Linked DNA regions of Rhinolophus ferrumequinum. The protein of the gene in region 3 interacts with the protein of the main gene of each other region in a pairwise test. Links are inferred from orthologs where the notes say so. Each region holds a gene or a part of one and is shown on either strand. Other genes may lie near its edges. The genes, in order: CINP, ACCS, FBF1 and TUBGCP4.

What was found.
Region 1: the proteins of FBF1 (region 3) and CINP interact in binary tests that used the Homo sapiens proteins (3 or more experiments, as listed by UniProt). The two-hybrid records come from large-scale screens. The link is inferred for Rhinolophus ferrumequinum from reciprocal best matches to the Homo sapiens genes FBF1 and CINP.
Region 2: the proteins of FBF1 (region 3) and ACCS interact in a two-hybrid assay, tested with the Homo sapiens proteins (2 studies listed by BioGRID and IntAct). The two-hybrid records come from large-scale screens. The link is inferred for Rhinolophus ferrumequinum from reciprocal best matches to the Homo sapiens genes FBF1 and ACCS.
Region 4: the proteins of FBF1 (region 3) and TUBGCP4 interact in a two-hybrid assay, tested with the Homo sapiens proteins (2 studies listed by BioGRID and IntAct). The two-hybrid records come from large-scale screens. The link is inferred for Rhinolophus ferrumequinum from reciprocal best matches to the Homo sapiens genes FBF1 and TUBGCP4.

What each region holds. Positions count from the first base shown.
Region 1 is NC_046289.1:2,522,792-2,530,117, forward strand, and holds the start of CINP (cyclin-dependent kinase 2-interacting protein), read left to right. Parts: upstream 1-4,322; 5' UTR 4,323-4,337; coding exon 4,338-4,410; intron 4,411-5,336; exon of another isoform or gene 5,337-6,580; intron 6,581-7,177; exon of another isoform or gene 7,178-7,275; intron 7,276-7,326. UniProt on the Homo sapiens protein: Component of the DNA replication complex, which interacts with two kinases, CDK2 and CDC7, thereby providing a functional and physical link between CDK2 and CDC7 during firing of the origins of replication.
Region 2 is NC_046294.1:16,465,370-16,473,239, reverse strand, and holds the start of ACCS (1-aminocyclopropane-1-carboxylate synthase-like protein 1), read left to right. Parts: upstream 1-5,010; intron 5,011-5,258; exon of another isoform or gene 5,259-5,322; intron 5,323-6,365; exon of another isoform or gene 6,366-6,368; coding exon 6,369-6,659; intron 6,660-7,870. Other genes in the region: probable inactive 1-aminocyclopropane-1-carboxylate synthase-like protein 2, read left to right, coding at 4,484-5,010. UniProt on the Homo sapiens protein: Does not catalyze the synthesis of 1-aminocyclopropane-1-carboxylate but is capable of catalyzing the deamination of L-vinylglycine.
Region 3 is NC_046304.1:50,761,029-50,768,827, reverse strand, and holds the start of FBF1 (fas-binding factor 1), read left to right. Parts: upstream 1-4,784; 5' UTR 4,785-4,892; intron 4,893-5,281; 5' UTR 5,282-5,439; intron 5,440-5,934; 5' UTR 5,935-6,017; coding exon 6,018-6,020; intron 6,021-6,586; coding exon 6,587-6,614; intron 6,615-7,384; coding exon 7,385-7,426; intron 7,427-7,799. UniProt on the Homo sapiens protein: Keratin-binding protein required for epithelial cell polarization. Involved in apical junction complex (AJC) assembly via its interaction with PARD3. Required for ciliogenesis.
Region 4 is NC_046289.1:62,429,777-62,436,976, forward strand, and holds the start of TUBGCP4 (gamma-tubulin complex component 4), read right to left. Parts: upstream 3,018-7,200; 5' UTR 2,799-3,017; coding exon 2,721-2,798; intron 1-2,720. Other genes in the region: ZSCAN29 (zinc finger and SCAN domain-containing protein 29), read left to right, coding at 4,243-4,560, 5,046-5,250, 7,011-7,200. UniProt on the Homo sapiens protein: Component of the gamma-tubulin ring complex (gTuRC) which mediates microtubule nucleation.

The DNA.
Region 1 (7,326 bases), on a different chromosome or scaffold from region 3:
ACCTGGCCACCCCTAAAGTGGCCCCTCTGCCCCCCGAGCACTCTCTCTCACACCCTCTCTCCATACACCTCTTTCGTTTCTGTTGACTCACCGTCTCTGCCTGAGCTCCTCCACCACCACCCCTGGTCTGTAAGCCCCACAGGAGCAGAGCCCATGTCTGCCTCACTCACTCCTCTAGCCGCTGGCACCTAGAAAAGGCCAGGCACATCAGAGATGCTCAGTAAATATTTACTGAATAAATGAATGAGTTATAAAACAGGAACATTTGCAAGGAAGGAATTAGTGACACGAATGGAAGAGCAGCAAAATATGATCTTTTCTCCAATGATTCAATTCAAACCTGGAATAATAATCTCCCCTCCCGCCCACCCCCCCAATCTGTACAGAATATGCCGTTTTCCAAGAATTTTCAGATTCCTACCTTGCTTGGTAGTCACAATAGCCAACACAGAGAGATAAGCGGGGTCATCTCAGAGAACTTTTCTACAGGTGACAAAAATAATCATATCCCTCTGTGATGGTTAAGAACACCGACTAACACACCCTCTTTTAGCAGAAGTTGAAGCTCTGGAAGATTCAGAAATTTGCCCAAGGTCACACAGTTTTAAGCGCAAGGAAAATCGGGATGGTGAACTCTGGTTCTGTTCATACAGCAGCACAGTTCATAAATGTATAACTTTTTAAGAACAAGACCAATCCTTGGTTTGTGCGAGTACTCCAGAAAGGTGGGCAAGACCAACGTGACCCAGAAATCAAATGACAGCAAAACGGCTGTCAGGGCTGCTGGCAGACACCCTGGGAAAGCATGTAGGTCATTTAAGGACGGGACACTAAAACCAAAATGACAACAATAATAATAGCAATAACAGTAATAGCTAACACTATGACTTAATAGAAACTGTCCTTGCACACTAACTCATTAAATCCTCACAAAAAACCTGTGAGATAGGCACGATTGCTATCTCCATTTTACAGACAAGGAAACTGTTCCCATTTCAACAATCTCAATCCAATTTTTAAAGTTAATAATGCTTCCTTGGTCACAAACATTTCCATTGAAAATACAAAACCCCGCTCCACAATAGGCCAGGAGGCTTCCCCCCCTTGTTAGTACCATCGACCCCCTACACCAGGAAGGTGGCAGCTCACCATGCTGACTGACGGCACCCTAATGCCATCTTGGCAGGCAGTTTTCCAAAACTGGAGCTAAGACAAACAAAATCTAGTCCAAATCATTCACTTAGCAGTTCAGCGGCCATAAGTTGCCAGAGCACTCTGACAACTCTAATGGTTTAAGGATTTTCTCCAAAATCTCTAGGAAGTGACAATTAGAATCCTGGTTGTATAATCTCTTTTTAAAATCTGGCTACAACACCTAGTCTTTTTTCTTTTTTTTTAAATTGGGGAATATTGGGGGACAGTGTGTTTCTCCAGGGCCCATCAGCTCCAAGTCGTTGTCCTTCAATCTAGTTGCACAGGGCACAGCTCAGCTCCAAGTCCAGTGGCCGTTTTCAATCTTTAGCTGCAGGGGGCGCAGCCCACCATCCCATGCGGGAATTGAACCATCAACCTTGTTGAGAGCTTCTGCTCAAACCAACTGAGCCATCTGGCCACCCCTCTGGCAGCTCAGCGGGGGCTTGTTGTCTTCAATCTAATTGTGGAGGGCGCAGCTCACTGGCCCATGTGGGAATCGAACAGACAATCCTATTGCTCAGAGTTCACGCTCTAACCTACTGAGCCATCGGCTGCCCCAACACCTATTCTTTTAAGTGTTAAAATCTTATGGCTGAACATAATGAGATTGAGGCAGCTTTTTATCTTCCAGATGAAATTTTGTAACTTCCTTGGTCCCATGCCTGCTGATAAGCCACTGCTCACAAGCTAAAGCCTGATGAAAGCACGGAAGTAGAACATTTTAAAAAACATGGTCTGTATCTAGCTCCATGCCAGGCTGCTCCTCCTTCCACTCTATGCTGCAGCCACAGTGGACTTTCCACCACAGTCCCCGAACACACCATGACCTGTATGTCTTTGCAAAGTCCCTCTCCTCCCTTCCCCATGGACCTACACAGCTTGTAAGGACTAGTTCTCCACCAGGAAGCCTTCACAGACTTCCTCTGACACTTAGTGGGCCTTTCTCTGCTTTCACAGAACGCTCTGAGGGCAGTGACCACAGGGCACCGTCATCGTTTGTCTCTGTACCCTTCAACGAACTCCTTCCGGTCTTTGCTTCCAGTCTACATACTTCGTGGTGCTGCAAAAGACCAGTGAAAACACTGGGCCAGAAATCCCACAGTACGACAGCCCAAGATGTAAGACTACTCTACCATAGTTACTGTCATCATTATGCAAAAATGCACTGGTCTGCAGTGCAGGGCCAAAGAATACACTCATTTAAAAGTGAACACGCACTTTGAACAATAGCTCACTTCTAACTACTCCCTGCTGATTCTACCACGCTCCTTGTACTGCACGAGATCCAGAAATCTCTTATGTATGACAACGAAGCTTCTTTTCATGTAACTGTTTCCTGATCTGCTCTTTCACTTTTCCATGCTCAATCAACTGCTCTGCCCGCTGCAGTTCCTTCTTTTTCCTACTAAGTTCCAGCAGCCATTCTGTCCAACTATGCAGACAGATGCTAGCTACCATGAAATATTACCTTCCTTAAACTCCAAGTGTAACTTCTCTAAGAGAACACTGCAAAATCCATTTTTCCATTGAAAAAGACAATGTGGCTACAAAGTAACTTAAAACTAACAAAAGCTACCCACTAGTCACTCCTGAAGACTATCCTTAGCAGGTCTTCCCCACCACCCCTCTCCAAGCCAGTCCTGAAAACTGAAGCAGAGCACCCCTATGCCTGTACCAGCTGGTTCTCTGGGGAGAAGCTCCCTGAGGGCAGGGGCGAGGTCTGCCTGGTCCACCACTCAATTCCTAGAGCCTGGCATGGTGGCTGGCATACAATGGACCCGAAATAACGACCTGGGATTAAGTGGGGTTACCAAAGAACAGCAAGGTCAGAGGCTCATCAGGGTGCGTTGTGGCTGAGTGTGAGGAACTATAAAAAGCCTTGCAGCTCAGGAGACACGGGTGACAAGGGGACACATGCTGGGATTTGGGTTTGGGGATTTCCCAGAAGTCCTTTCCTTACAGTTTACAAGGCGTTGAGGACAAAGAGGCAGTCAACCCCAAGTGCTACTGATCACTCCAGCAGACAAAGCAAATGTGCACCCAGGCTGGTCCCCCACATTCTGCCACCAGATGAAACAGAAGAAGCAACAGAACAAATTCCTGAATCTCAGTGCGAAAGTGAGAAAGAACAAAGACCGGGGAAGAGAAATGGAAGTAGAGCATGTGGGCAAGGACAGCAGCTATCCTTTCTGGAAATGTAGCGCCTGCCAGGCACTGTGTTTAGCACCTCACGTGCACTGACCTATTTAATCTTCCCACCAAGACAGAGGCAGAAACTACTATCATCCCCATTTTACTGATGATGAAACGGAAGCTTAGAGAAGTCATATCACCTGCCCCGAGCACACAGTTAGGAGGGGGCAGCGCTGTGACCTGAATCCCATTCTTGAACCTGCACGACCTATTCTGCCTCCCAGGCCTTAAAACAGGACAGAGAGAGGTTCATGTATCCATTTACCGAACGCTTACTGAGCAGCCCCTGGGTACGTGCCAAGGCCTGGTGGGCGGATGAAGGCACGAGGGCTGAGAGGGTCGGGAGACAACGCAACAGCGAGCAGAAGGCTAGGGGGCTGGAGCCTCGAGGCCGGCGGGCAGAAGGGGTGCAAGGGTGCGGCGGAGGGAAGGAGCGGTGTGGGAGGAGCGAGGGGCGCCCGGGCCCGCGAGGCGGAGGGCCCGCGGATGGGGTCAGCGGGCCAGCGCAGCACAGGACGGGAGGACGGCTGCTCGGCTCGGCGGACCGCCGGCTTTGGCCTCACGTGTTACGGCATTCAGCCTCGGCAACCCAGCGCGGGAGAGACGGGAGCGGGGAAGGGGGGCGAAAGCGGCCGGGCGACCCCGAGGCGCTGAGCCGAGGGAAGGTTGGTCCGAGGGAGGCGTGAGCGGCGGCGGGGAGCCAGAGAAAGGGGCGCGGGGCCGGACAGCGGGGCCGCCAGCCGCGTCGCCGGACTCACCTCCCGCGGCAGCCCCTCGGGATTCCTCGGCCCCGCCGGGCGGGAGGAGGCGGGGTTGGACTCCGGGACGCGGGGGCTGCCGGGAGCCCGTTCCCCGGGCAACCGGGCCGGCCCCGCCGAGCGACAGCGGATTCCGCCGGGGGCTAGAGCGACAGAGCTACAAGTGGAAGCGGGCGGGGCGCGGCGGAAGTGATGCGTCCAGCTTCCGGCGGCGTGGGCGGGGCTTCGGGTCTCTTTCCTGGGATATCGGCAGACTGCATGGATGGTGCGTAAGACGGGCCACTTCCCCGGGGTGGGGCGGTTGTGGGTGTCACGGCGTGGACTGCGGGCCGGGCCTGAGGCCAGGAGCCTCCCGGGTTGAATGGGGTCCGTGCGTTGCCCCATCCCAACCCTCTGGCCCCGCGCGGGCTCTGCAGTGGGTCCGGGAGCCAGTCAGTTTTTCCGAGCATCAGTTTTTTCACGTATACTGGTAGAACGAGATGCTGCACCCAAAGAAGTGTCAGCAGATCCTGACATTCAAATTTTAATTGTCATTATAAAATAGCATTAGCCGAGCCCTTTTCTTGAACTCTCCTCAGTCGGAATTACCAGCCACAGAGCTTTTTGCCTGTAATAAAAGCTATCATTCAGCGAGTGCTCACTATGTGTCAAGGAGCGTTCTAAGTACCTTACGTGGATCAGTTCATTTGAGCCTCGCAGCGATCCCATGAAGTAATGTCAATTGATGGGGAGCCGCGGCTCACGGGATAAGTAATGGAGTCAACTACTGTCCCTTACCTCACTCCACCCAGTCCTGTGACTCTTACTGGTCTGTCCTTCCTACTAGCTTGTGAGATGCTTGAAGGCAGAACTGGTTTTGGTTCCTAAATTTGTGCTCGATGTGGGGCAGACAGATGATGAATCAGATGTGGTCCTCACCCTTAAGGACCTCCTGGGGGAGAGAACCCCTTAGAAGATTATATAGTGTAGGTGATAAGAACTGTTTCTCCATTTAATACATTTTATTCAACACCTACTGTGTGCTGAGGTTATGAGAGGGAACAGGACAAGTATAGTCCCTACAATGCTGGAACTTACAATCTTAATGGGGAATATAGACATTAAACAAGCAAATCCACTACACTGGTGAGTGTCATGATAGTTGACGTGCAGATGTCTAATGCAGTAACTCCCAACCCACCTTGGCGTTTTAGGAGGACTTCTTTGTGGAAGTGACTTTCTAAAAACCTAAATCAGATCATGTCACTTTCCTACCCAAAGCTCATTGCTCACTTTCCATTGACTTGGAATGAATAAATCCAGACTTCTTATCTCAGCCTGTAAAGTTCTAATTGTCTAACTGCTTCCCACTTTCTACTCCTGTTCTCTGTTTCATTCTAGCCACACAGGTCTTTTCTTTTTTCAAACTCACCAAGGCCTTTCTCACACTAGGGCTTCTCATTCAGGTCTCAGCCTAAATGACACCTTTTTGGGGATCACTCTAACACAAGAGCCCGTTTTATTTTCTACATGGCACTTAAAACGATCTAAACTGACCATGATAATCTCATTGTCTGCTGTCCACTTCCTCTTGGGAAAGTAAGTCCCATGACAATGGACCTGGCCTGTCTCATTTACTTGCTTCATCCCCCATGCCTGACATATTGTAGGCATTCGACTAATATTAGTTAGTCGTATAAGTAAAGAATGAATGAAAAGTCAGTATGCCATTTAAAAGCAGAGCCATAAATATACTAGGAGTTAACTGGGTGACTGGGAACACACACTGACAGGAAAAATATTTCAGATCAAAGTCAGAGCAAGTGGGAGAAGCTGGAGACGTGACGGACAGGACTTAGGTCACAGAGGCTGTGGTATTATGGTTTATAATAAATAAACGTTTGGTCTTCATCCCATTCCTGGCACAGAGCTCCTAAAACCCATGGCATTTCCTAAGTGGTAAGAGTGGTAAAGGTGTTCTTTTGTTATGTTAATGATTGACTTTTGGAATGGCCCTAGGTCATCCAAGGGTGGGGGATGCTTATCTGGGAACCTGCCTTGTGATTAGAGAGTTGAAACTTTTAGTCCTAACCCACCAACCCCCACCTCCAGGAAGGGAAGTGGTGCTGGGGGTTGAATCAATGACCAATTATCTAATTAATCATGCCTATGTTATGAAGGCACTATAAAACTCACAAAGAAAAGGACAGGGTTCAAGAGTTTCCAGGTAGGTGAACAGGTGGGGACTCGGGGAGAGTGGAGCACTCAAGGAAAAGGAAGAGCGCCTCTTCCCACACGCCTTGCCCTGTGCATCTCTTCCATCTGGCTGTTCCTGACTTATATCCTTTTATAATAAACCAGTGATCTAGTAAGTAAAGTGTTTTCCTGAGTTCTGTGAGCCTCTCCAGCAAATTAAACTCAGGGGAGGAGTCTTTGGAACCTGCCATCTATAACTGGTAGGTCAGCAGGTGACAACCTAGACTTGTGAGTGGCTTCTAAAGTGGAAGTGGGGGAGGGCAGTCTTGTAGGACTGAGTCTTTAACCTGTGGGATCGATGCTCTCTGCAGGTAGATAGTGTCAGAATTGAGTTTATTGCTGGTGGTGGTGGTGGTGGAAAAAACACACTGGAGAGGTCCTTGTGGTAACAGATACTCTGTTGATTACTTGCCATTTGCCAGGCCCTCACAACTTTATGTATATTATCTAATCTTTACATCAACACTTTGAAGTAGATATATTTTATCCCCATTTTATAGATGAGAACATTGAGGCTCTGAGAGGTTAATTAACTCGCCCAAGATTGCACAGCTGGTAGTGGCAGAGCTGGGTTCTAACCCAGTCAGTATGGTCGTCAGAGTCTAGACTCCAAACTGTACCACTGTTGTGTGTGTCCTGGACTCCTGAAGGGACCTCATGGAATTTGGTCTTCATCCTGTGGGCCAAGAGAAGCTTTTAAGGGGTTCTAAGTGGAGAAGGAGAGAGGGCACAGCAGAGCTGGGAGAGCCCAAATGGCCTGAGTTGGCTTTTGGTGTTCTGGGGGTTGCTTTCCACAGGAGCTGGAATCTGGATGAGTCTTAGAGCCTGGGCAGCACTCACCCCAGGAAGGAAAGAACTTTCTACCAGAAAGAACTGCATGTGCAAAAGCCTGCAGGTGACTCCACTTATCCAGAAATGCCAGTAGTTCCTTTTAGCTGGAGATTGA
Region 2 (7,870 bases), on a different chromosome or scaffold from region 3:
AACAGCAAACAGTGGGCTCCTTCAGAAATGGGCTCAACTGACCGTGTCATTACCCTCTTTAAGCTGAGCATCTGTCATTTTTAGAAGCCTTGCCTCTTTTTCCTCTTTGCTAGCCATTGTGTGTGGGCACAGAATGATTTTACGGGGTTAGGCTGGGAAAGGCTAGAGAAATCAAGGGAGCTCTCTGCGTCCCTACTTAGATGCCTTTATTTTTGTAATCAATACCCAATAAATTCTGTATTGTCTTAAATTCCAGGCCTGTTTTATTTCTTCCTCATTCGTCATAATCACCCTTGGGAACTCTTTAACCTGTTTGTCCTTCTATTTTTAAATTCTAAGGCAGGTTGTATGTGAAAAATAGTGAATTCATTGGATGAATGAGGGAGGGTATGGGACCAGAAAAGAAGGGGAAGATGTGAACTAGAGATGCTCTTGGAAAACTCTGTAATGGTAGTTAATAGACAGTCCTCCAAGGTAGTTCGTTATACACATATCACATGTACGAGTATGTCCTCAGAAAAGATAGCCTAAAACAAAGGCAGCCAGTGCCCCTGCTTCCAAGACAGGCAATAACATGAGAGGCCCAGGAAGAATCATCTCCTGACAGTATCTGTGACCTTGCGAAATTCACTTATTAGCCCTTATTGTTTTGGGGGGATTTATTTGAATTTTCAATGTACCCAACCATGTTGCCTATATAAAAAAAAGATAGTTTTCCTCCTTCCTTTTCAGTATTTATTTCTTATTTTTCTATTCTAATTGCTTTGCCTAGAACCTCCAGCACAATGTTGGAAAGTGAAGAGAGGGGACAGTCTTGCCTTGTCAGTTTTAGCAGGATTGAGTTCAATCTCTTAAGTATAACGTTGCTGTAGTTTTCATACTGGCCTTGACCAGATAGAAAAGTTTCCTTCAATGCTAGTTTGCTGACAGTTTTACCATGAAAGGGGTTCAGTTTTGTCAGATGTTTTTATTTCTACCGCTAGAGATAATATAATTCTTTAAAAATTATTAATATGGTAAATTACATTGATTTTTTTTAAAAAAAGGTTAAGCCAATGTCATATTCCTGCCATAAACTCCAAATAGTCATGTCATTTGATATTAAGAATTTTACATCTATTTTCATGAGGGATATGGTGAGATATTTTTATATATATATATATATATATAAATATAAAATATGTTTTATAATGTATCATTGGTTGCAGTGTCCAGGTAAAACTGACCCCAAATTTTTGGGAAGTGTTCCTTTCTCAAAATTCTGAAAGTTTGTGTCAAATTGATTTTTTTTAAAAAATATTTAATTGTTTGGTAGAATTCACCTGTAAAGTCATCTTTTGTTTTCTTTGTGGAAAGGTTTTTACTTTTTTTTTTTTAACATAATTTCTGTAACAGATATAGGGCTATTCACATTTCCTATTTCTTGTCAGTCTTGGCAATTTGTCTCAAGAAAAATTTTCCATTTCATTTAAGTTGAATTATTGACATATAAGGGAATGTTGAAACAATTCTATCCCTTTAATATCTGTAGGATATTATAGTGTCCATCTTTTTCTTCGCTGATATTGAAATTAGTTTTTTGATCAGTTAATCTAAATGTTTATCAATTGCATTGATCTTTTTGAAGAGCCAACTTTGGGTTTCATTGCTTTTTCTCTGTTTCTCTTCTGTTTCATTTTCCACTCTTTATTTCCTCTTATTTGCTTTGGGTTTAATTTGCTCTTTTTCTGGCTTCTTAAGGGGAAACTTAGATCAATGGTTTTAAGCAGTTTTTTTTTCCTAATATAAGCATTTAAAGCTATTGATCTCTCTTCAAGCATTGCTTTAGCTACATATAATTTTGATGTGTTGGGTTGTTACGATCATTCACTTTTCTAATTTCTCTTGTGATTTCTTTTTTTAATCTATGATTTTTCTAGCATATGTTACCTAGTTTCCAAATATTTGAGGATTGATTGTTTAGCTATCTTTGTTAATGATTTCAACTTTAGTTCCGTTGTGACTAGAGAACATAAACTATGATTTTAATCCTTTGAAAGTTATTGAGACATGTTTATGGCCAAGTATATGGTTTATTTTGGTCAATGTTTCATATACACTTGAATTGAATTCCGCAATTATTGGGTGTGTTGTTCTACAAATGTCAATTAGGTTAAATTGTTTTGTAATGTTTAAATCTTCAGATCCTGTCATTTTATCAATCTTTCTATCACTAAGAGAGGGGTGCTAAATTTTCCAACTATAATTATTGATTTGTCTATTTCTCCCTTTTGTTCTCTCAGTTTCTGCTTCACATATTTTAAATACTTATTATTAAAGGTATAAACATTTAAAAATCATTATCCAGGTGAATTGAGTATTTCATTATGAAATGTGTTAATTTTTGGTAATTCTTTTTGTTTTGAAGTCTACGATGTCAGATATTATGAACATGTCAGCTTTCTTATGTTTTCCTTTTTTGGCTATTAAAATACACCTAACACGAAATGTACCATCTTAACCATTTTTAAGTGTATAGTTCAGTAGTATTAAATACATTCACATTGTTGTGCAGCCAACCACCATCCATCCCCATAACTCTTTTCATCTTGTAAAATTGGAAATCTATACATATTAAACAATAATTCCCCATTATCTTCTTCCCTCAGCCTCTAGCAACTACCATGCTACTTTCTGTCCCTAAGTACCTCATATGTGGAATCATACAGGGTCTGTCTTTTTGTGATTGGCTTATTTCACTCAGCGTAATGTCCTCAAGCTTCATCCATATTGTAGCATGTATCAGAATGTCCTTCCTTTTTAAGGCTAAATAAGATTTCATTGTACGTATACGACATTTTGCTTATCCATTCATCTGTTAATAAACACTTTGGTTGCTTCCATGTTTTAGCTATTGTGAATAATGCTGCTATGAACATGGTGTACAAATGTCTTTGAGACCCTGCTTTCAATTATTTTAGGAATATACCCAGAAGTGAAATGGCTGAGTCATATGGTAATTCTATTTTTAATTTTTGGAGGAGCCTCCATACTGTTTTCTGCAGCAACTGTACTATTCTACATTCCCACCAACAGTGCACAAGGGTTCCAATTTCTCCACATTCTTGCTAACACTTATTTTCTGTTTTTTGGATAGTAGCCATTTTCTTATGATTGTTATTTGCGTGGCATATTTTTTCCAATTTTCCTTTAATCATTTGTTTTCTTATTTAACAATGTATCTTGCAAATACCATATACTTGAATCTTTGTGTTTTATCCAGCCTGATCTTTTCATTGATCCTTAGTCATTCTGTTTAATGTAATTATTAATATGGTTGAATTTAAGTCAACTATTTTGCTATTTGTTTTCTATTTGTGTCATGTGTTCTTTGTTCATTTTTTCTTCCTGCCGGCCTTCTTTCAGATTAATCAAACATTACTTAGTTTCCCATTTTATTGCCTTTTTTGGCTTCTTAGTTATTTATTGGCTTCTTAGTTATTTGGCTTCTTAGTTATGGCTTCTTTTGATTTAAAATAAAATTGTTCTAGGAATTAATACTATATATACATTTCCAACATCTGCAGGAGAAGTCCACAGTCCTTATCACAGTTTATTTACAAAGATTCATGACCTGACCCTTGCTTGTTTCTATCTCCAGCCTTTCTCCCAAACCTGGAAAACTCCAGAGGTACTGGCTTTGTACTGTACATTAATGTTCTCCACTGACTCTAACCTTTAAGGGCCTATGAAAATGTTCCATCTGCTCTAACACCACCTTCTACCGCCCACACCCCACCCCCTTCCCCAGCCAGCTAGCCAACTAGGACCCATCCTTCAGAACTCAACCTAAGTGTTGAGGGTGAATGGACTGTGTAGGGCTTCCCATGTGGGGCCAAAGCATGTGTTTGTGGGGTGGGGTTAAAGCATACCTGCTATATGCTTCCATGGCACTCAGCAATCCCTTTCTTAACAGTTATCATGTGTATGATCAACCATCCAGGCCTGCTGTTTGATTTGCCCATAGCTGTGTCTCAGGATTTTGCAGAGATCGGACACAAAACAAGCAATAAAACTACTTATCTGAATTAAATGGAACACTATGGCTTAAATGGAGAAAACTGTCTTATTTTACAGAACAAAACACTAAGGATGGAAAAAGTCATGAGAATTGCTCGAGGTCAAATGGCAAAGCTAAAGTGAAGACAAATGGAGTGGTCAGAAGACAGCCAAGTCTTCCCAGCCACACTTGTGTTGAAGGAATCTGCCGATGTCCTTTCATGAGCAAAGGAGACTCAAGGCTCTGCGCATGCCTGGGCCCTGGATCATCTAACTCACTGCCCAAGCCCCAGAATATCTAGGGTCATGGCAGAATTTAACAAATGTTCCATAGATAGAAAGGAGGAGAAATTACAAACTCAGGTGAAAAACTCCCATACGGGAAGGATGTTTTAAGAAGGCTCTCGCCTTAATATGGAAAATCTTCTCCGTGGGCCACAACCAGGCATGTATTTGCCAAGAAACCCCCGTGGCTCTAGCGGCCTCAATATTGGGGAACTGAGGCCCGGAGGCAGAGGAGGGCGCCCCCACGAGCCAGCTGGGGAGACCAGGGCGAGGAGGTGGCCCCAGGAGCTCGGGCAACAGAGCGTGGAGATGGCAGCGGGCTACTCGCGCCTCTCAGGGGTCTCCGCCCTGGGCTTCTTCCCCTTCTCCGGCTTCTCCCGGGGCCTGGGCTGTCAGCGGACACCGGAAGGGCCGGGGGAGCCCCGGTCCACCCTGTGCAACCGGGTGTGCGCGTGGTATCCTGCAGGCCACACGGAGGCGTCCTCCGGCCTCAGTCGCAAGGGGGCGAACTGCTCTTTTACCAACCCGGGAAGTCACGGGGCGCAGACGTTCCCCAGCCCCCAGTCCGGGAGCCTTAGGGCTGGGTCGCCCGCGCAGAAAGCACCGACACTGACCTCGCGTCTCCTGGGTGTCCACGTCGCACCTCCAGCTCGGCCAGGTCGGTGTGATTCCAGCTGTGCAGACTAGGAGCCCACCCTTTGTGAAGGGCTCGAAGACTCTGTCCTTCCGTCTCGAAGCCCTGTGCTCCAAACACACTTCCTCCTCTTGGAGCCTGGAGCTGTGCGGAGGACCGCCGCCTGCAGAGGCCCTGGCGCTTTCCTGGCCGCCGCGATCGCTTCACTGGGTGGGGGGATCTGAGGCCTGGTCGGACTGTGGACTCAACGCTGCTCCTCCAGAAGCCGGAGCCCGCCCTTGGCTCCCGCACGGCACAGTTCACCCCTGGCCCCCGGCTGCGCGGCCCTTGGCCCTTCCACTGGCCTGGGCTCCGGAGGTGCCCAGCCAATTCGGGAGGACCCCAGAGGCGACTTTGTGGAGCAAAATTTAATCGGGGAGCCCCAAAGTTTTTAAGCTGCTGGCTGGTCCCCCATCATTTGGTGTGTCCTGAGTTATTTGGTGGGTGGGGCTTGTGCGTTAGGACTGGGAAAATTTGGGAAGAGTTATATATTTTACTGAACTTTGGCCATGAGCCAGGATTTGTTTAAGCGCCTTATCTACACGAACTCATATACTTATATCCTCACTGCTACCCTATGAAGTAGTTACGGTTATACCCATTGTGCAGATGAGGAAACTGCTTTAGAAAGTGGAGGAGCTCCCACCTGCTCTCAGGATGAGACCACCCAATCCTGGCACCCATGCCTCCCACCACTGGGAGGGAAGAGCGGGCCTTGGAGCTCTGCCTGCGTGCCTGCACTTGCAGAGATCCCCACTCTCCACCCGGTAGGCCCCACCCAAGGTTTGCTTCAGACCATCTATAATCTCATCCCACCCCTTACCCCGATTTACATCAGTCACGATAAGACCTTTTGGGACTCCAGGCTTTTTCTACTTTAAGCCAAAAAAATTCTAACCTGGGTTTTTGAAATTCAGGTCAGCAAAAATGGGAAAAGACAATTGGTGACCCCTTAGGCTGCAGAATGAAAAACCCAGAAAAGTAAAACAAACACCTATATAGTCAAGTCATATAAAAGTAGCAAGCGCAAACCCTGGCACGGAATCCATCCTTAACAGAATTTGCTTGAAGGGATTGCACACATGGTTACAACTAGTCAGGGACACGATGCAGTTAGTCCATAAAGTTAAAGGAAGGGCAGATAAGGAAGGGGGAGGGCCCCATGACTCCCAATTCATTTTTGGGGGGAGGGGATGAGCGATGGCACAGCTCCCAGTGGCCCATCTGGGGATCTAACCGGCAACCTCAGTGTTATTAGCACCACACTCTAACCAACCGAGCTAACCAGCCTCCCCCATCCCAATTCATTTTTGCTGGCTTGGTCCTGTGGAAAGTCCTTGATCAGGCATTAAGTGCTTTTGTCTTTTTGCAGATGTTCACCCTCCCTCAGAAGGAATCCGGGGCACCTACTACCTGTCTGGACCCAGCTTCCACACAGGGCCTGGGCAGTAACTATGGGGATGGTCTGGGAAGAGACTGCGCCAGAAAACCAGACCAGAAGCTGCCGAAGCTCTATGGAGTGGGAGATCCCATCGCCACATTCTCCTCTGACAGCTCCCACCTATCCTCGAGAGGAAGAATCATTAAATGGTTTTGGGACTCGGCTGAGGAGGGCTACAGGACCTACCACATGGATGAGTATGATGAGGATAAGAACCCCAATGTGAGTGAAGCCCTCCTCTCCAATGAAGGACTGCAGGGTGGGATACCCTACCATGACCAGTAGGGCGGCAGCCAGTTTGCTCTTGTCAGGTTGGACCTATTGTCCTCTGATCTCCAAGAGGGCTTCTGATTGTAGCTCAGAGAGGCCCTAGTTTATTACCTGGATCAGAAAATGACCCAGTTATAATTAAGGGGACCTTGATTTGTGAGGAATTCAAGAACCATGGAATGCTCTAATGTGGATTCTGACCCACAGTGTATCAACTATTCAACTTTAGAGCTGGGACGAACTAAGGCTCAGATCGCAACTGTTACTCTTAGGGGTTGTGTATTCTTGAGCTAATTATTTAACCTCTTTGGACCTCAGTTCATCTCTAAAATGAGATAATGAGACCTGCTTTTGTAGAACAGTCACAATTAGATGAAATCAGGTCTATAAAGTTATTAGCACGGTGCTTCCACATAAAGCATTCAGTAAATGATAGCTGCTATTATTATTAATGTTATATGTTAATGTGTATAATGTTATCATAGATATATAACATTATCGTTAGAATAATTAATGTTATTATAAGTTATTAGTAATACTTTCAGAGGGCAGAGAGCTGTCACAAACAACCTTTTAATAATCTTTATTTCTTGAGCATCCCCCAGGGGCTGGGCACTGTTCTAGATGCCAGGGTTGTAGCGGTGAACAAAAATAAAGCTTCTGCCCTCATGGAGTTTATAGTCTAATGGGGAACACCATATCTACATATGGTGGCAAGTGTTATAGAGAAAAAGAAAGCAGTGTAAAGAGGATAAAGTGATGGGGTGGCCTGGGCATGTTACTATTTTATGTGAGGTGATCCCAAAAGGCCACTTTCATAAGGTGACATTTGAGCAGAGACCTGAAAAAAGTGAGGGTTTTTGTTAGTTATCGGTTGCTGTCTAATGAATTACCTGAAATCGTAGCAGCTTAAAACAAACATTTCACAATTTCTGGGGCTCAGGAACCTGGGTGGTTGCTTCAGGCTAAAAAGCTTCCGTGAAGTTGCAGTGAAGCTGGGGCTTCAGTCTCCTCTGAGGACTTGGCTTGGCGGGGGGAGGGGCCCGCTTTCCAGCCCACCTCCATGGTTGTTGGTAGGACTTAGTCCCTTACCACATGGGCTTCTCTGCAGAACTGCCCCATGACATGGGCTTCTCCCCCCAGAACTTCCCTGGGGGAAGCCC
Region 3 (7,799 bases):
ACACCTCCATATGCCCTTTGTCATGCTTTAGCAACTCTGTGTTTTGGGCCAGTTGGTTTCATCTGAAACCCCCACCCCTTCCTCCCGAGGATTATTTTTTGAAACAAATCCAAGATAACAGTTAATTTTGTCCATAGATATTTCAGTATGTATCTCTAAAAGATAAGGACTTTTTTCAGAAACATAACAATACCATTCTCACACCTAAACAAATTAATAATAATTCTTTAATATCATGAATTACCCAATGTCCAGATTTCCTCAGTAGGCTCATTTCTTTTTTTCCCTCTTCAATTTCTTTGGATCATGATCCAAATAAGGTCCAGATAATTTCTTGATTAAAAGTATGCTCTTTTACATTGCAACTTCCTGATGAGTCATTTTCTCTCTCCCTTCCTCACAGGTCCATGAATCTTACTACAAGCACCTGAAGCCCCTGCAGTCCAAGCTCTGAATGTCATGACACGTTTTATCTGCTCCAGGAAGCAGCTGTACTCTTCTACTCCCCTTATACCTGTCACACAAATCTGCGTGGAATCTTGATCGAAATCAGAGAGCGATAGAACAGATGATAAATTGATCCCTTTCTTCTTTATTAATGAAGAAAAAAATGAAGAGCTTTCAGAGATTAAATGAAAAAAATAGATATGTTTTAAGTGCAATTAACACTGAAAGAGACCTGTCAAGCATTCAGAAAAAGCTTTAAGAAATACAGTATGACGTCCATTTGTAACGCTGCTGATCCCAGTAGGCCATAACTTTTGATAATTAGTAGAATTTAACTACTAAGTAGTTAATTATTATCACATCTTAGTTGCTAATCACTGGATATATGTGTTTTTAAGCAAAGATACACCCCTCCCAAGCTTTCCTGTTAAACGCCCTACTGCTCCTGCCATGGGCCCTGACTTAAAAGCAGGACTGCAGAAAACGGATTGGGGGAAGGAAACTAATCAGAAAATTTAGTGTGAGTTTGTGCTTAACACATTTTCTGCCTGCTTGCCCTTGGTTGCTGACATACTGTTTCTGTTTGCTCATGGTAGCATTTTTCTCACAAGAATTTTTTCAGCATAGGCCTACTGCAGGATCATTGTCCTGTGTAACTGGGAATTAATCTTCCATTAGAAGGATCCCTAAATTGTCACTGTAGTAGCAACTTCTTGGGAAGGGGTGGGTAGCAAAATTATTTCTACATAGGACTATTGGCAACTGATGGAACCTGTCGGTGGCATTTGATCTCCCTCCCTCCTTGTCCCTTAACCTCTCCCGAAAGAGATAATGAAGAAAGAAAGAAGAGTCACAGTTCCTTCCTAGTAGAATAAGTGTAGGGAGAGCTCTCAGTTATGGTTACTGTAACTTCGGTGACCATATTAACTGGATATTCTGGAGCAATTCTGATTTCATGTCATTTTGGCATAAACCATTGCAATGCTTGGAGTTTATAGTGCCTGGCATTACAAAAGTAAAGCATCACTCAGGTTACCTCTTACCACCAGGAGTAGCACACAAAAGTCCTTTGACAAACCATGTGTTCTGGTTTTTGGATCAGAAAACATAATCATTGAAACTATGGCTAAAGGACAAATGGAAGTTCCATGGAATTATTTCTTATTATATGTTTGGCTTTAGTTTCAGTATGTTTCTAGGAGCTTTATCTGAATTGCTAAATTGTCCTTTCAGCTGAAATCTAATTTACACAATCATTCTATATTTAGAGGGTAAATGTGTACCTCTTAGTGAATTTTATTCTTAAAATCAATGCAAAACAACATGTTACTTGATTTTTTTTTTTTAACCTGTTAACTGTATCTGTGACATCTGCCTCATGAAACCGTTGTTCTAGAATCAGTCTTGAGAATGTAGTATAACTCAGTGGAAATACAATTCCTATCTTGGGACCTGACATAAAATCTTATTCCAGTGGAACTGGTAATATGAGTATTTTAGGTCCAGCAGAAATACTGTCTGTTGACACAAGCCTTAATCTTTACACCAGGAGAATTAATTGATAATTGTCTTAAGATTGAAGTAAAAAGCACTCTGTTAATCTCATTTGGCACATCTTGACAGCTCAGATTCTGGGAAATAACAGAAAGTAAATATAAATTGTTTAATAGTGACCTGTTAAGTGTAGAATTGTTTCAAAATCAGTGGTTAAGTACTTTACTCATAGGTGAATACCTGTAATCAGCACCTGAGGGTGTTTGAAATGACACCCATCTAATCTAGCTGCATAGATCTGGGAACTATCGTAGCAGATTTGAACAGGTGGTAGATACAACAGAGCCACCTTTAGTCCAGCACCTAGTTTTATTTAAAAACTAAATCTGATATTTGAGACTACTTTTATTAACATTGTAATGTTTTGTCTTGAACTTTATTCATTGTGATCAAAGAATAAAGATGTAGTAAAACCTCACTAATTTGCACTATCAAGAGGGAAAGAGTGTACCACATAATTAAACATAAGTTCAAATTACGAAGAATTGTAAGATGGAGGCTTAGGAAGTTTAGGTAACACTAGGAACAAAAAAAGGAAGGAGTGAGACCTGCTGGAGCAGATAGCGCTGAAATCCACCTCAACTGCTGTCGTCGTCACAAAGGCTGAGTGCTCTCTGGTCGATTTCTGAGAATTTTTTGTTGACTGCTACAAAGCACGCAGGTCGTTTGCTGTCCCTCAGAAGCCAAACTTTGCCGTAGATAAGTCTGGTTGTGTTGTGTTGTTTTGTGAGCCGTTTTCACAGAGTACAAAGATAAACTTCACCCTGACTTCTCCAAAATGATGATAAATATTGAGTAGAATTAATGAGATTTTTCTACTAGATAATATCGATACAAGCCTCTTTTAAAAAGTACCCATAATTGAAAATTTGAGATTTAATAGGGATGATTTTGCTATTTGTAACAGATAAAGGTTGATTCTTCCTCAAGTGTTTGGAGTTCTGTTTTATGCTCTATGAGACAGTGACCTCTATACAGTTTGTCCCAAAGCCTTGGGGCCCTTCATGGTCTTGTCTTCAGAACATAACACTGATAAGTCTTAGTTTTTCTTCAGAATATTTGCTTAATTGCAATATATTCATGTGTTTTCTGAGAACTCACTTGTAATTTCATGTATCTGGAAGCATTTTCTAATTCCTAACGTTAACATGTCAGATCTTAATTCTTGGTTTTCTTCAGTGCGGGGCTTTGGCTGGAGAAATATAACTTCAAATTCATGATCCTAGAGATCCCTGGGGAATTAAATTTCTTTAGATAACTGCTGCTCAGGCCCTCCTCCCCCTTTCTGAGTTCTTTGCATCCATCTTATTAGGAAGGAAGAGAAGAGATGCCGATGGTCTGTAACACCTGCTAATCTTTTTAAATATGTGGAAGGTATGCCTTGGGGTTTCAGGGTGTCTTCAAGCAGTAGCTAGTTCCCACTGCAGCCCAAGAGGAGCAGTGTCAGGAAATTGATTATTCTACCTGAGATCAAGAGTCTTGTTGATTCTCCTGACTCAGATAAAGGTTTTGATCATTTTAATGGAATAATGTGGAGGTCGTTTGAGCTAATTAAATATTTACTACTACATTCTTGGAGGATTAGACCAAATCATGTAAATGACTAAAATGATCCATTCTTTCATTTTAACATAGTGGTGGGGGAGTTCTGCTTTTAGCTCTCCACACTTATTAATTTTTCAGTAACTATTCCTGTGGTCCATGATAGTACACAGAAACATAAGGAAACTTAGGAGTTACCAGATGTTAGCTGTTGCAGACCTGCAAATTACTAGATTTCAAGGGGGTTTTGTTTGATTTTGCCTTAAATTTAAGTGGGCCATTCATTATCTCAGAAAGATCATGGAAAATTAGGAGTGATTTTAAGAATTCTGAACCAAAATAAGTTGTTTTGCCACAGTACTGTTGATTTTCATAGATTAGATAAATACGTGATCTTCCACATAATACTCAGACTGCTGACTACTTTGTAAACACCACTTTATTTACAATTGCATCTTTTAGAGGGTATAATTACTTTGCCACCCTTCCTCCTTTTACTGTTGTGGTTTGAGTTTGGTTCCTACCTGACGATGCATTTAGTATGTATTGTTACCCATCCCTGGCTGGACCCGTCAGTGGGGGTGGGAGTACAAGGAGGTTCACGGGTTCTGGTCCTGAGGGTCCTGAGCGTGTGAATCATGGTTAGATGGCAGTGACCCGCTAGCACTGTTTGGCCTTCCGGTAAGCCAAGCCATTAATCCCTTTTTCCTTTGTAAAATTGAAAGACCGTTAATAAAATCTGTAATTAACACAAAAACTGTTACATGTTTTCATTGCTTACGTTGTTGGGTTTTATTCTGGCTTTGCATCTTTGATTTTCTTAATTGAACAGAAAGATCTCTTCCCTAAGCTTAGGAGTGGGATAAATACATAATATCGTTTCACACATCCATCTTCCAATCTTAACACGTTTCTCATGCCTTCCACCCTGCCACAAGTCAGCCCTCAGGAGAGTATTGGAGGGACTTTTAAGCGTTTAGTCTTGGAGCCCAGGCCTCCATGGAATGAATGGCAGGAGGAAGAAGTCCGCTGGCCTCGGAGACTGGACCCCTCTTCCCAAAGGCGTTGAGGCAGCCCCTAGCAACGGGAGGAGCCACGAACAGAGGACCGGCCCGGACTAACGGCCGCGGCGTGGCACCCTGGGAAATGTAGGTACTTTTGGCGTCCCCTGTTTGCTTGGTTCCGGCCGGTGAGCGGGCCTCGGACTACAACTCCCAGGATGCCTCGCGCCTCGCCTTGTTGTCGGAGGCCGGGCGACTGAGAGATTGGTGTCCTCGAGGGTCCGAAGCGGGAGGTCTGACCGAGCTGGGCTCTAGAGGAACCCGGACCAACGGCCATGGCTCGGACAGGTCCCAGCTACTGCTCTCCGGAAGGGAATAGCTCGTAACCCAGGGAATTTCAGGGGCTAGGAGGATCGTAGGCTGCGCTCGGCGTCTGGATGGGCTGGGCGCGTGCAGGGGATGACACTTGGAGGGGCGCGGAGTCTCAGGACCGAGGGGGTGCCTCCCGAAGGGTCCTTGCTAAGGGGAGGGCTCTTGCTAAGGGGCGGGCTCGGGATTTTCAAATAACTGGCACGGAGTTGGCTGAGTAAATGCGACGACGTGGTAGTTCTTGTGGCCCTGTGGCCTTCGCATACATCTCAGAGATTCTCGCGGTCTGGGAGGCTGGGACACGATCGATAGGAGATGACTGGAAGTTCCAGGATGAAATATGAGACAAATCGTGTTTACACTTCTAGGTCGTGAAAGTTGCCATTGCAGAGAAAGAGAAACAAACATTCAGAGTGGCCCCTGTATGTAACCCCCAGATGAACTTTGCAGTCTAATAACAGAACAGGCCATCATCAGAAAATAGAGATGGCCCCTTCCGACTCCTTTCTTCCAAGGCGTGCCAAAGGTCGGTACCAATAACATTGAGGAGGGGGCAGGGGAGAATGATAATTCTGGGGAAAACAGTTCTCTGTAAATGGGGTGAGTCGGATTTAGTTAGTGTGAAGGAAAAATTTCCATTGTTGGTGAAAACATTGTCAAGGAATAACCAGCACTCACATCAGCTGTTTGTGCCAAATGCTGCCTAGAAAGTAGTCATGGGTGTTGCCTGGAAAGACGTATTGGCCATAGGGCCAGGCACCACCTCCTTTCTGAGGTGGGTACCTGTCCTCTCCAGCATCCTGTTTCAGGGTAGGGGATGAGGAGCAGTGAACTTTATGCGGGTAATCTCCAGGCCTGGGAAAGCTCAAGTTACCCAGAACACTTTGCTTTTCATGTGAATTGCTCCCTCTATGAGGAATTTTTAATTTATGGAAATAAGTTTTGACCTCTCTAATGGGTAAAGTGAGAGAAGCCTTGACAGGCCATGGACTCAAGCATCCACTTTAATTTTCTTCATTAGGGAGCATGGGCGTGATGGGAGCAGAATTCAAATGAGTTGGACAGCGCTGTGCAGGAGCTGCAAGCAGCCCCGAGAGCCTGGAGATGGTAGGCAGAATGCATAGTAAGACGTATGGAACTGTGAATCCGTCCCCACCCCCAGCGTCTTGACTGCATGGAGTGCTGAGGGGGCTGGATGTGGTCCCTGGAGAAGAATAATGGGACATAGCATTGATATCAAACTTTTTATTAAGCAATGAGCAAGCATTTCTTCTGAGCCTCTGAATGTCCAGCTGGAATCATTTTTAAATCTGTCCCTGGTATTGAGGATTCGAGGACATGGAATAGAGGAAAAGATTCAGTCTCATTACATCATGTCTGGGAGGGTTTGCGTGTGGCATCTGGAAATCAGAAAAAAAGAGACTTCTGCCCGTGAAGGGTGCGCCCACAGTAGCAACCAGTGCTAGTTAGTGAGCACTGTTTTCATGCTCTTGAGTGAGTCTATTCTCAGAAACTCTAGAAAAGTATAAAGGGCCTCTTGTCTCTAAATGCCATTGGTGTTCCTTTTTCCCCTGGTGACTTGGCAAAAGGCAAAGCAATCCATTCTGCGTTCTCGGTTTCAACACATGTTCATAGTTTGATTTTGTTCAAGTGATTTGTTTTTCCCATTTTAGGCACCAAAAGTCAAGAAAGGATTGAAAGGTGAGTGGCGAGATGGAATATCATCCTTAAGCCAAAAATATTTACCTCACATTGGGTCTAAAAAGAACTCAGGCTTATGGGTGTCTGAATGTTCTTAGTGTGTCTTGCTGGAGCCCCCATAATTCCACAGGGAGCTCTGGTCTATCTAGGGGACTCCTTATGCTGCCTGATTGGCCCTCAGAGTAATACAGAGCAAGGGACGGGACTTGGGAAAAACTCCTGCTCTTTGGGCTCTGTATCCAGAAGTACATGGATGGAGGTCAGGAGTGTGAAGGCTCGTAAGCGGATGTGAGACCTAATTCAGTACTCGCACTTGGGTTTCCCCACATGCCCCATCAGAAAATGGCCGAGGAAGAGTGCCTCCAGACCAGTTCTGGGGGTCTCAGATGGAAGGGTACAAGGAGACTATCAGTATGAAAGAAGCTTGTATGTGCCTAGAAATCTTGGACACTTTTCCCGAAGAAGCACACTGGGCTTTGTTCAGAGCCTAGAACACGGGCTTGATGGCCAGTGTGTCACGTAGAACTTAGGTTCTCCTGAAAATCTTCACCATCATGCTTTGAGAAAGTTATTTTCAATTTCTACGCTAAGGTCTTTCAATAAGGCGTTGTGACTTGTTACTAGAAAGTTAGAAAACATCTCGTGGCCAGTGAAGAGAGAGCTAAGCCTACCTCTGAGAGCTCTGAGGTTCTGGGGGGAGGTCTCAGGAGGTGAGGCTGTAAGGCCCAGTCTTTCTTCCTGAAGTCATGATGCCACCCTTTCTGTTGCAGACTCCTTTGATGATGTCCTTGATGACCTCCTGGGGGATGAGAGTAAGTGCCCCTGTCCCAGAATCACCTGATTTAGGCTTGTTCTTTTTTCTTTAATTGAGATATAATTCAAATATACTCTTTAAATATACTCTATATTTATATATGAATAGAGTATATTCAAATATACTCTATAAAATTTACTCTTTTAAAGCATACAATTTAGTGGCTTTTAATATAGTCACAAAGTTGTACAATCATCAGCACAGTTCCAGAACATTTTCATCACCCCATAAAGAAACTCCATACTCATTAAGCAGTCACCCCTCTGTTCTCCCCTCCCCTCAACCCTAGGCAGCCACTTTTCTGCTTTCTCTATGGATTTGCCTATTCTGGACATTTTATATAAAATGGAATCATATCGTATGTGGCTTTT
Region 4 (7,200 bases), on a different chromosome or scaffold from region 3:
CTCACTATGCTTTTGATTTGCATTTCCCTAATGATTACTGATATTGATCATCTTTTCATTTGTTTATTGGCCACTATATATCTTCTTTGGAGAATCAACCAACTTACTTATCCCAGGCACTGTGTTAACGTTCTGAAATTAAATATTGAACAAGATTAGATATAGTTGCTACCCCCAAAGAGCTTAGCATATTGCACATTCGTATAGTGAGTATTGTATTTTGTGGATGCCATCTTTCTATGACAGTAAATGTGGTAATAAATAGGCAAAGAAGAATTTTTCTGTTTCTGAGTCCATAATAATTTGATTAGGAATCCCCTTAATGTAGATTTTAATAACACAATGATAACCATATCCACAAATTAATAACTCAGAGGCATCATGATGTAGTGCTTAAGAACCTGGTCTTTGGAGCCAGGCTGTCTGGGTTTGAATCCCTGAGTTGCCTCTTACTTGCTTGAAATCTTAGGCAGATTTCAATACCTCTCTATGCCTCAGTTTTCATACCTATAACGCAGCGATAATAATTGTGAGGATTAAATAAGTTATGACATGTACATCACATGTGCCAAGTACATAACAAGTATTCAATATATGTAAGCAATAGTTTTATTATTGGGACAGCTCTACCCAGCTAGCAAGTGATACTCCCATTAAAACTGGCATTTTGAGCAGTGCTTTTTGGCACAGTTTTAGAAAAGCTGAAGGTCTAGTTATTCTATAACAGCAAACAATACCTTGAAGTTATTGATATCATTTGGTGTAACCTAGTTATATGAACAGGCATTCTCTACGTTAGAGTTACTGAAGTCAAAACAGAAAATATAAAGCCAGATCTGTGGCAAAGTCATTCTACTATTAAATTCAATGTTGGTGATTTAGTTTCAGCAAAACAACAGTATATGTCACATTATATCACTGGTTCTCAATCAGGGCCAATTTTGCCCCCCAAAGGAAATTTCGTAATGGCTGGAGATATTTTTGGTTGCCACAACTCGGGGTATTACTGGCCTCCTGTGAGCAGAGGCCTTGGATTTTACTAAACATCCTACAATGCACAGGAGAGCCCTCCACAACAGAGAATTATCCTGTCCAAAATGTCAATAGTGCCAGTGTTAATGTGAATTGGTAAATTTGGTAGTTTTGCTTACTTTGTAAAAATATTTGGTTTTATAGCTGTTCAAGAGAGCAATATGCTTGAGTTTATACTTAGCGTAATATGTATACATATTCAATATGACAATAAAATGATTTTTATCAACATTGGGCATTCATGACAATTTTCCCCTTTATTCAATGTGAAAACCACTGCTCTGCAGAAAGTATGCAGTATTTACTGGTTTTGGTGGCCTTTTTTTACACAAATATCTACTCTGTGGCACAAACTGTGCCAGGTGCTTCTGGTACATCCATGAAGACCACTGTGGTCTTTGCCTCCATGGGCAATCTGTGCAAGAAAAAGACTAGGAAGAGGTGACAACAATAAATAATATGACTTGTGGTTAAGTCCTCTAAGGGAAAAAAACAAGTTGCTGTGATAGAAAATAATGGCATAGGGGAGGAGGATACTGAAAGAGATGGTCAGAGAAAGTTTTTCTGAGGTGACTTTAAAGCTGAGACCCTGAGGAAAACATCTGATGGAAACTTTTTTATAAGAAAGGAAGGCAGCTATCTTTTCTATATTGTTATCTCTTTTTACTTCAGATCATAAAGCACACACAAATACTTCCTGAACATTTTCCTCCTATATGCCTGGCATTGTGCTAGTTTTACAGGGGAAAATAAATAACAATAGGAATCTGTTTGGTTTATAGGTTTTATAGACTAAAAATATAATTTTTCTGCTCTTCCCCAGCCTATTCTGCCAAGTCTCATATGAATAGGCATGACTGTCATTAGACAGAGCTAGTTACAACTCTTGCCATTATCAGGACTAACCACCAACCATAAAAGTTCTCTGAGCTTCAGTTTGCTCATTTGTAAACTAGGGCTAACAATACCTAGTTACTAACTTATCCAGAGGATTAGATAACATTACTGGAGGCAGAAGTACAAGAGTAGTTCAGATACTGGCGCCTGACAGACCTGGGTTCAAGGCCAAGCTTGCTCATTACTATCTGTGTGGAGTTAGGTGGTTATGAAGAGTAAATGAGATAATGCATCTAGTACACAGCCCTTCCTCCTCATGCATTCCTGGTTACAGGAAGGCCCCCTTCCAAGTTCTCCTATTGCACAAATTTCCTGAGAAATGATCATGAGGGAAATTTCCTGAGAAATGATCATTCATTTTTTTTCATGCAACAAAATTGGCTGAACCTTTATTGTGTGTTATCCTCTGGTCTAGCTTTCAAAACTCAATTTAAAACAGTGCAAGCGAGAAAATGGGAGAAAGTGCCTCCTTCACTTTTACATCCAGTTGCCCAGCAACTCGCTCAAACACCTCAACTTGAAGCGGGATTCGGGGCTCCCTCTCTCCCTCCCCGAAGGCGGGGTCATTCTGGGTCTGCCCTCCGTTTCCCAGCCTAAGCCCAGCCCTCTCAAGGTGTTACGTCAGCCGTAGGCCCCTCGGGGCACTGCCCTCCAGTACCTGAGCAGGGCCATTCCCCCCGCCCCTCGGCCCTGCAAGGCCCGCCCCCTCAGTCCCTCAGAATTCCCCCACGTTTTGGCTCAGGTCTACCCATTCAGCTCCCGTCAGTTTCCGCGTTCTGAGCCGGACAGACCTGAAGGCCGCTCCGCTTGTTCCAGGTGAAAATGGACCCTGGGTACCCGCTCAGAGCCAAGAGCAGTTCGTGGATCATTCCCACGCCGGATCTCAAGTCCCTATATACGTCGCTCCCTCCTCCAGCGCCTCTCCAGGCGACCGCAGAGTCGAATGCTCCCTTCTGGAAACGTGCACAGGCTTTTGGGACCTACGGTTCCTCCTGAATCTACCCGCCGCGACTGCTGCGGGAGGAGCGCACAGGGAGCGGGAAAGGGGTCCACGCGCCGCGTCCGGAAGTGCGCCGGCTCTGCTGGGTTCCCCGTTAGCTCCAGCCCCGGCTCCGCCGGAGAGTCCTGGTAGCTGCCTTTGCGCATGCGCCCTCAGCGCCTGAGTCACCCACTCGGACTTCCGGTTTTGGAGCTGGACTAGGAGGCTGGATTGCCGGGCCTGGGGCCGACCCCGGGTGGGTGAGGCTGGCCCGCGGACATAGATGCGAGTGGGTTGAGGGACAGCCCTAGAGGGAGACACTCCCGGGGATGGACCGGAAGGTGCTCTCAGAGCCTTAGCCGGGTTGGGGGCCTCTGGAGGGGACTGCACGACGGCTCTGAGAGTGACCTGGCCGGAGGGAGCGAAGACAAAGAGGCCGGAACCCCGCACCAGCCGCTCCTAGAGCTGAACTCCGCGCCCGCTAACCTCGCAGCACTCGGATCTTCCGGCCGGCACCCGAGCTCGTCCTCAGGAGACCCATTACTACTACCCCCTCAGAATCCTCCTCTCCACCAACTCAGTGCGACTCTCCCCAAGCCCACCCGGCCCTCGCGTCAGAAGCCAAAACCAACTTCTCCCAATGCGCGAGGTCTCCCGTCAGTAGTTCCCGAATGTTTTGCTGAGCGGTTACTTCTGCTGTGAGGGAAAACAAAGACCCGAGATTCAGTACTTGATTTTTGTCTGGGGTGGGTATTGCCAGTTGTGGTGTCCAAGGGGGCAGGGCGGACGTAGAGGGCCTCGGGAAGCACTGCGGAGGTACTGGGTGAGGTCACCTGCGACCCGCGGGACACAGGCTTTTTGTTGCCTTGAACACGATGGTGACTTGCCTTTAGATCCTCTGAGCTCCAGGTTTCCCATATGGTTCAAACTCATTGTGCAACATTGGTTAAGGGAGCTAAGTGGGATCAGATTTGGGGGAGGTGGAAGAGGAGCAGACAACTCTTTGCTGCTTCCCCGGGCTCCCCTGGGAAGTCGCCCAGAAATGCAGCTTTTGAAAGGTTTCTCTCCATGCTGTTTTGGCTTGCTGTCCTGGAGTTGATGATGCCTCAGATGGCCACATGGAGCATATATATGGAAAGTCGGGCCAGCTCTGGCAAGACTTTAGACATATGAGTATATTCCTTCTGATAGTGCCCTCTCTCTCTACCCTAGGAGGCCACTCTTCTTAAAGAGAGAGAGACTCATCTGCAGGTAATTCTCCAAAGACATGGGAAGATAGGTGTAAGCCCTGGAACCCAGACCCTTAAGTGGAGGGAAGCTGCTTTCTGCTGTGAATGATGGCCAAACCCACTCTGAGAGGAAATGGCACTAACTCGGAGACCTACCGACAGCGCTTCAGGAAATTTCATTACCAGGAGGTAGCTGGGCCCCGTGAGGCTTTCAGCCAACTCTGGGAACTTTGCTGTCGGTGGCTAAGGCCGGAGGTGCGCACCAAGGAGCAGATTATAGAATTGTTGGTGCTAGAGCAATTCCTGACCATCTTACCTGGGGAAATCCAGAAGTGGGTACAGGAGCAATGTCCAGAAAGTGGAGAAGAGGCTGTGGCTCTGGTGGAAGATTTAGAAAGAGAGCCTGGAAGACCTGGACGTTCGGTGAGAAGGGAGGGGGAATTCAGAAGTGTGTGAACTGGGCTGGGGCAAGGATAAAAGGCCAAATTAAGGTATAGACAGGTTTAAAGAGGGGCATAATCTCCCGTGGTGATGCTTATACTTCTGATCCTGGAACAGGTAACTTTTTCAGACACAGATCATCTAGAGAGGCTACTTGGGTGTACCTTTGGTACCCTGTCATAATGAATTATTCATAGTTTCATAGTTTTTTACTTAATAAGGAAGAAAGTGGACTTATTTTTCTAGCCTATAGTTGGGTTTACTGTTTTGATCTTTTCCTTCCGGAATTCCGGCTGCTCTAAGCTAACAGTAACAGAATAAGAATGACCCTTGTTCACTATTAACACCCCTCACCCAACCCTAGCCATGTCCCAAGAGGATGGTCTCTTTTGGGGTATTAAATAATCTCCTCTGGGAATGCCCCTCATTATGACCTTGCAGTGACAATTAATGGGGGTTGTTTCTAGGTCACAGTCTCTGTGAAGGGGCAGGAAGTGCGCTTGGAGAAGATGACACCCCTGAAATCATCACGAGAGTTATTAAGTGTTCGGCAGGAGTCAGTGGAACCTCAGCCCAGGGGTGTACCCAAGAAAGAGAGGGCAAGAAGCCCAGACCTGGGACCGCAGGAGCAGATGAACCCAAAGGAGAAGCTCAGACCTTTGCAAAGGAGCGGTGAGGAGTAGATTCATATGGGAAGATAGGATGCCATTCTAAGTTGGGAAGTAGGGTTGGGAATAGTGAGTGGGAAAGGGATTTCAAGAATGAGTGAAAATTGTAGAGTATGCAGTTTTTGGGGACCTCCTGAAGGCATGTAGTTTAGCTCTGCTGCAGTAAGTATTCTTGTTATTTCCTCTTTTGATAAGTCTGCCAGAGGATGGTTCCCTAGTTTCTTTCAGAACTCGGAACTATTTTATTTCCTCTTGGTAATGATACTAGGTCAGTATTTTCTAGGTAAAAATTATTTTCTATATTTGAAGGTACATCTTTTAGTCATTTTCCTTCTCCAAAATAAACTGTATTTGTTTCTTTAAACTTTTCGCCAGAAGCTCCATTATTCAGACATACTGTTTTTGTTACTCTCCCTTGGAAACTTTTAAGTTCTCCAAATATGTTAATTGTGGAGAACTAAATTAGATATATTATTCCAGTGAGGGTCTGGTAGGTTGAGGCAGAGTAAGAATTTTACTTCAAAATTTCACTGTATTTTCTTTCCGAGTAGCTCGACTAATTCTTTGATGATTATTGTTCACCTGGTAACTCCCAGGACTCTCGTAGCCGTCCCCATTGTCTTTGTGCCTAGCGCCTATTCTTGTACATGACTGCGTAGAGCTTGTTTTTCTTCTTTGTACTCTGTTGAACTCCAAATTGTAAGTTTTTTACTTTGATCATTTCTTTAACTTATTGAGGTTGTTCTGAATTCTGACCTTATCGGCCAAAACGCCAGCCTTTTCAGCCAGTTTGGTAATGGTCTGTTTAGTCATTCAGATGCATTCCCTCAACCACACACACACAGACTTGCAGAATTAATCAGTTTTTGAACACCTATCATGTGCTCAACACCTTGCAGGGTATTCTGCAATAAGAAAAGATGCCTATCCTCAGAGAGCTTACAATATGATTGAGAACTAAACAGCAAATATAAATATGTGCTGAACTGAACTGTACTGAAACAATGTCAAACAATGGTTTGTCACTCAATTGTGTGAGTATAACAGAGTGGGAGATAAGGGAGGGCTGTAGGAAGGCTTCAAGGGGGCTTTGGCAAATACAGCTTCTTGAAGTGGGTTAAATTGGGATAGGGGAAGATTCTGATATGAATGGACAGTGCATAGTGGGCACTCAGGTTAAGGTCCAGCAGTATAGTACGTATGTGAGCTGAGGAAGCAAGAGCCTGGAGTTTGGTAGAACAGTGACCGTTATCTGGGTGTGAGAAGGTAAGACTTGGATGGTGGCAGTAGGAATACGGAAAGGGCATACTAAGGGAAAAACCTTTAGAACTTAGTGACTGAGTGTGAAGGAAACAGATGGGCTGAAGACCATCTTCCTTCTGTTCCCCTTGAAATCACTATGAGTTTAGTTCTCTAGCCCCAAGTGGAGAACTACAGGAGACAGGAGGTGGCTGTTCCCAGCAGGGCTAGGACCTGCCTACAGGAGGCCAGGAGGGCTAGGGAGCACCTTGGAACAGAATTACCTGCTCTGAACATACCAACAAAACCTTTTCCTCTCTTGCTACCCTGCTTTGGAAAATAAAATAGTTCTCATTTTTTGGTTTCATGTATTTTTCCCTTTCTTCAACCCACTGAACTTTCTGAAAATATTTCCTTAGACACTTTCTTTATAAGTCTCTTGGGTAAAAAAAGGCAGGTCTGAACTCAAAGATGTTTTTTATGGTCAGTCCAAACTATGATATCCTTTGTTTGCTTCCCTGCAAGCAGGATTTCCATTTCCTAAATCCGGTGTGGTCTCCAGGTTGGAGCGAGGAGAGTCTTGGATCCCAGATGTAGGCTCCAAGGAAAAGGAACTGCCAAGAGGCAGTCACACAGGAGACAGACGAATGCATGCTGATCTGTTACCATCCAGGAGAGAGAGAAGCTGGGTGGAACAGGATCCCTGGGGCTTTGA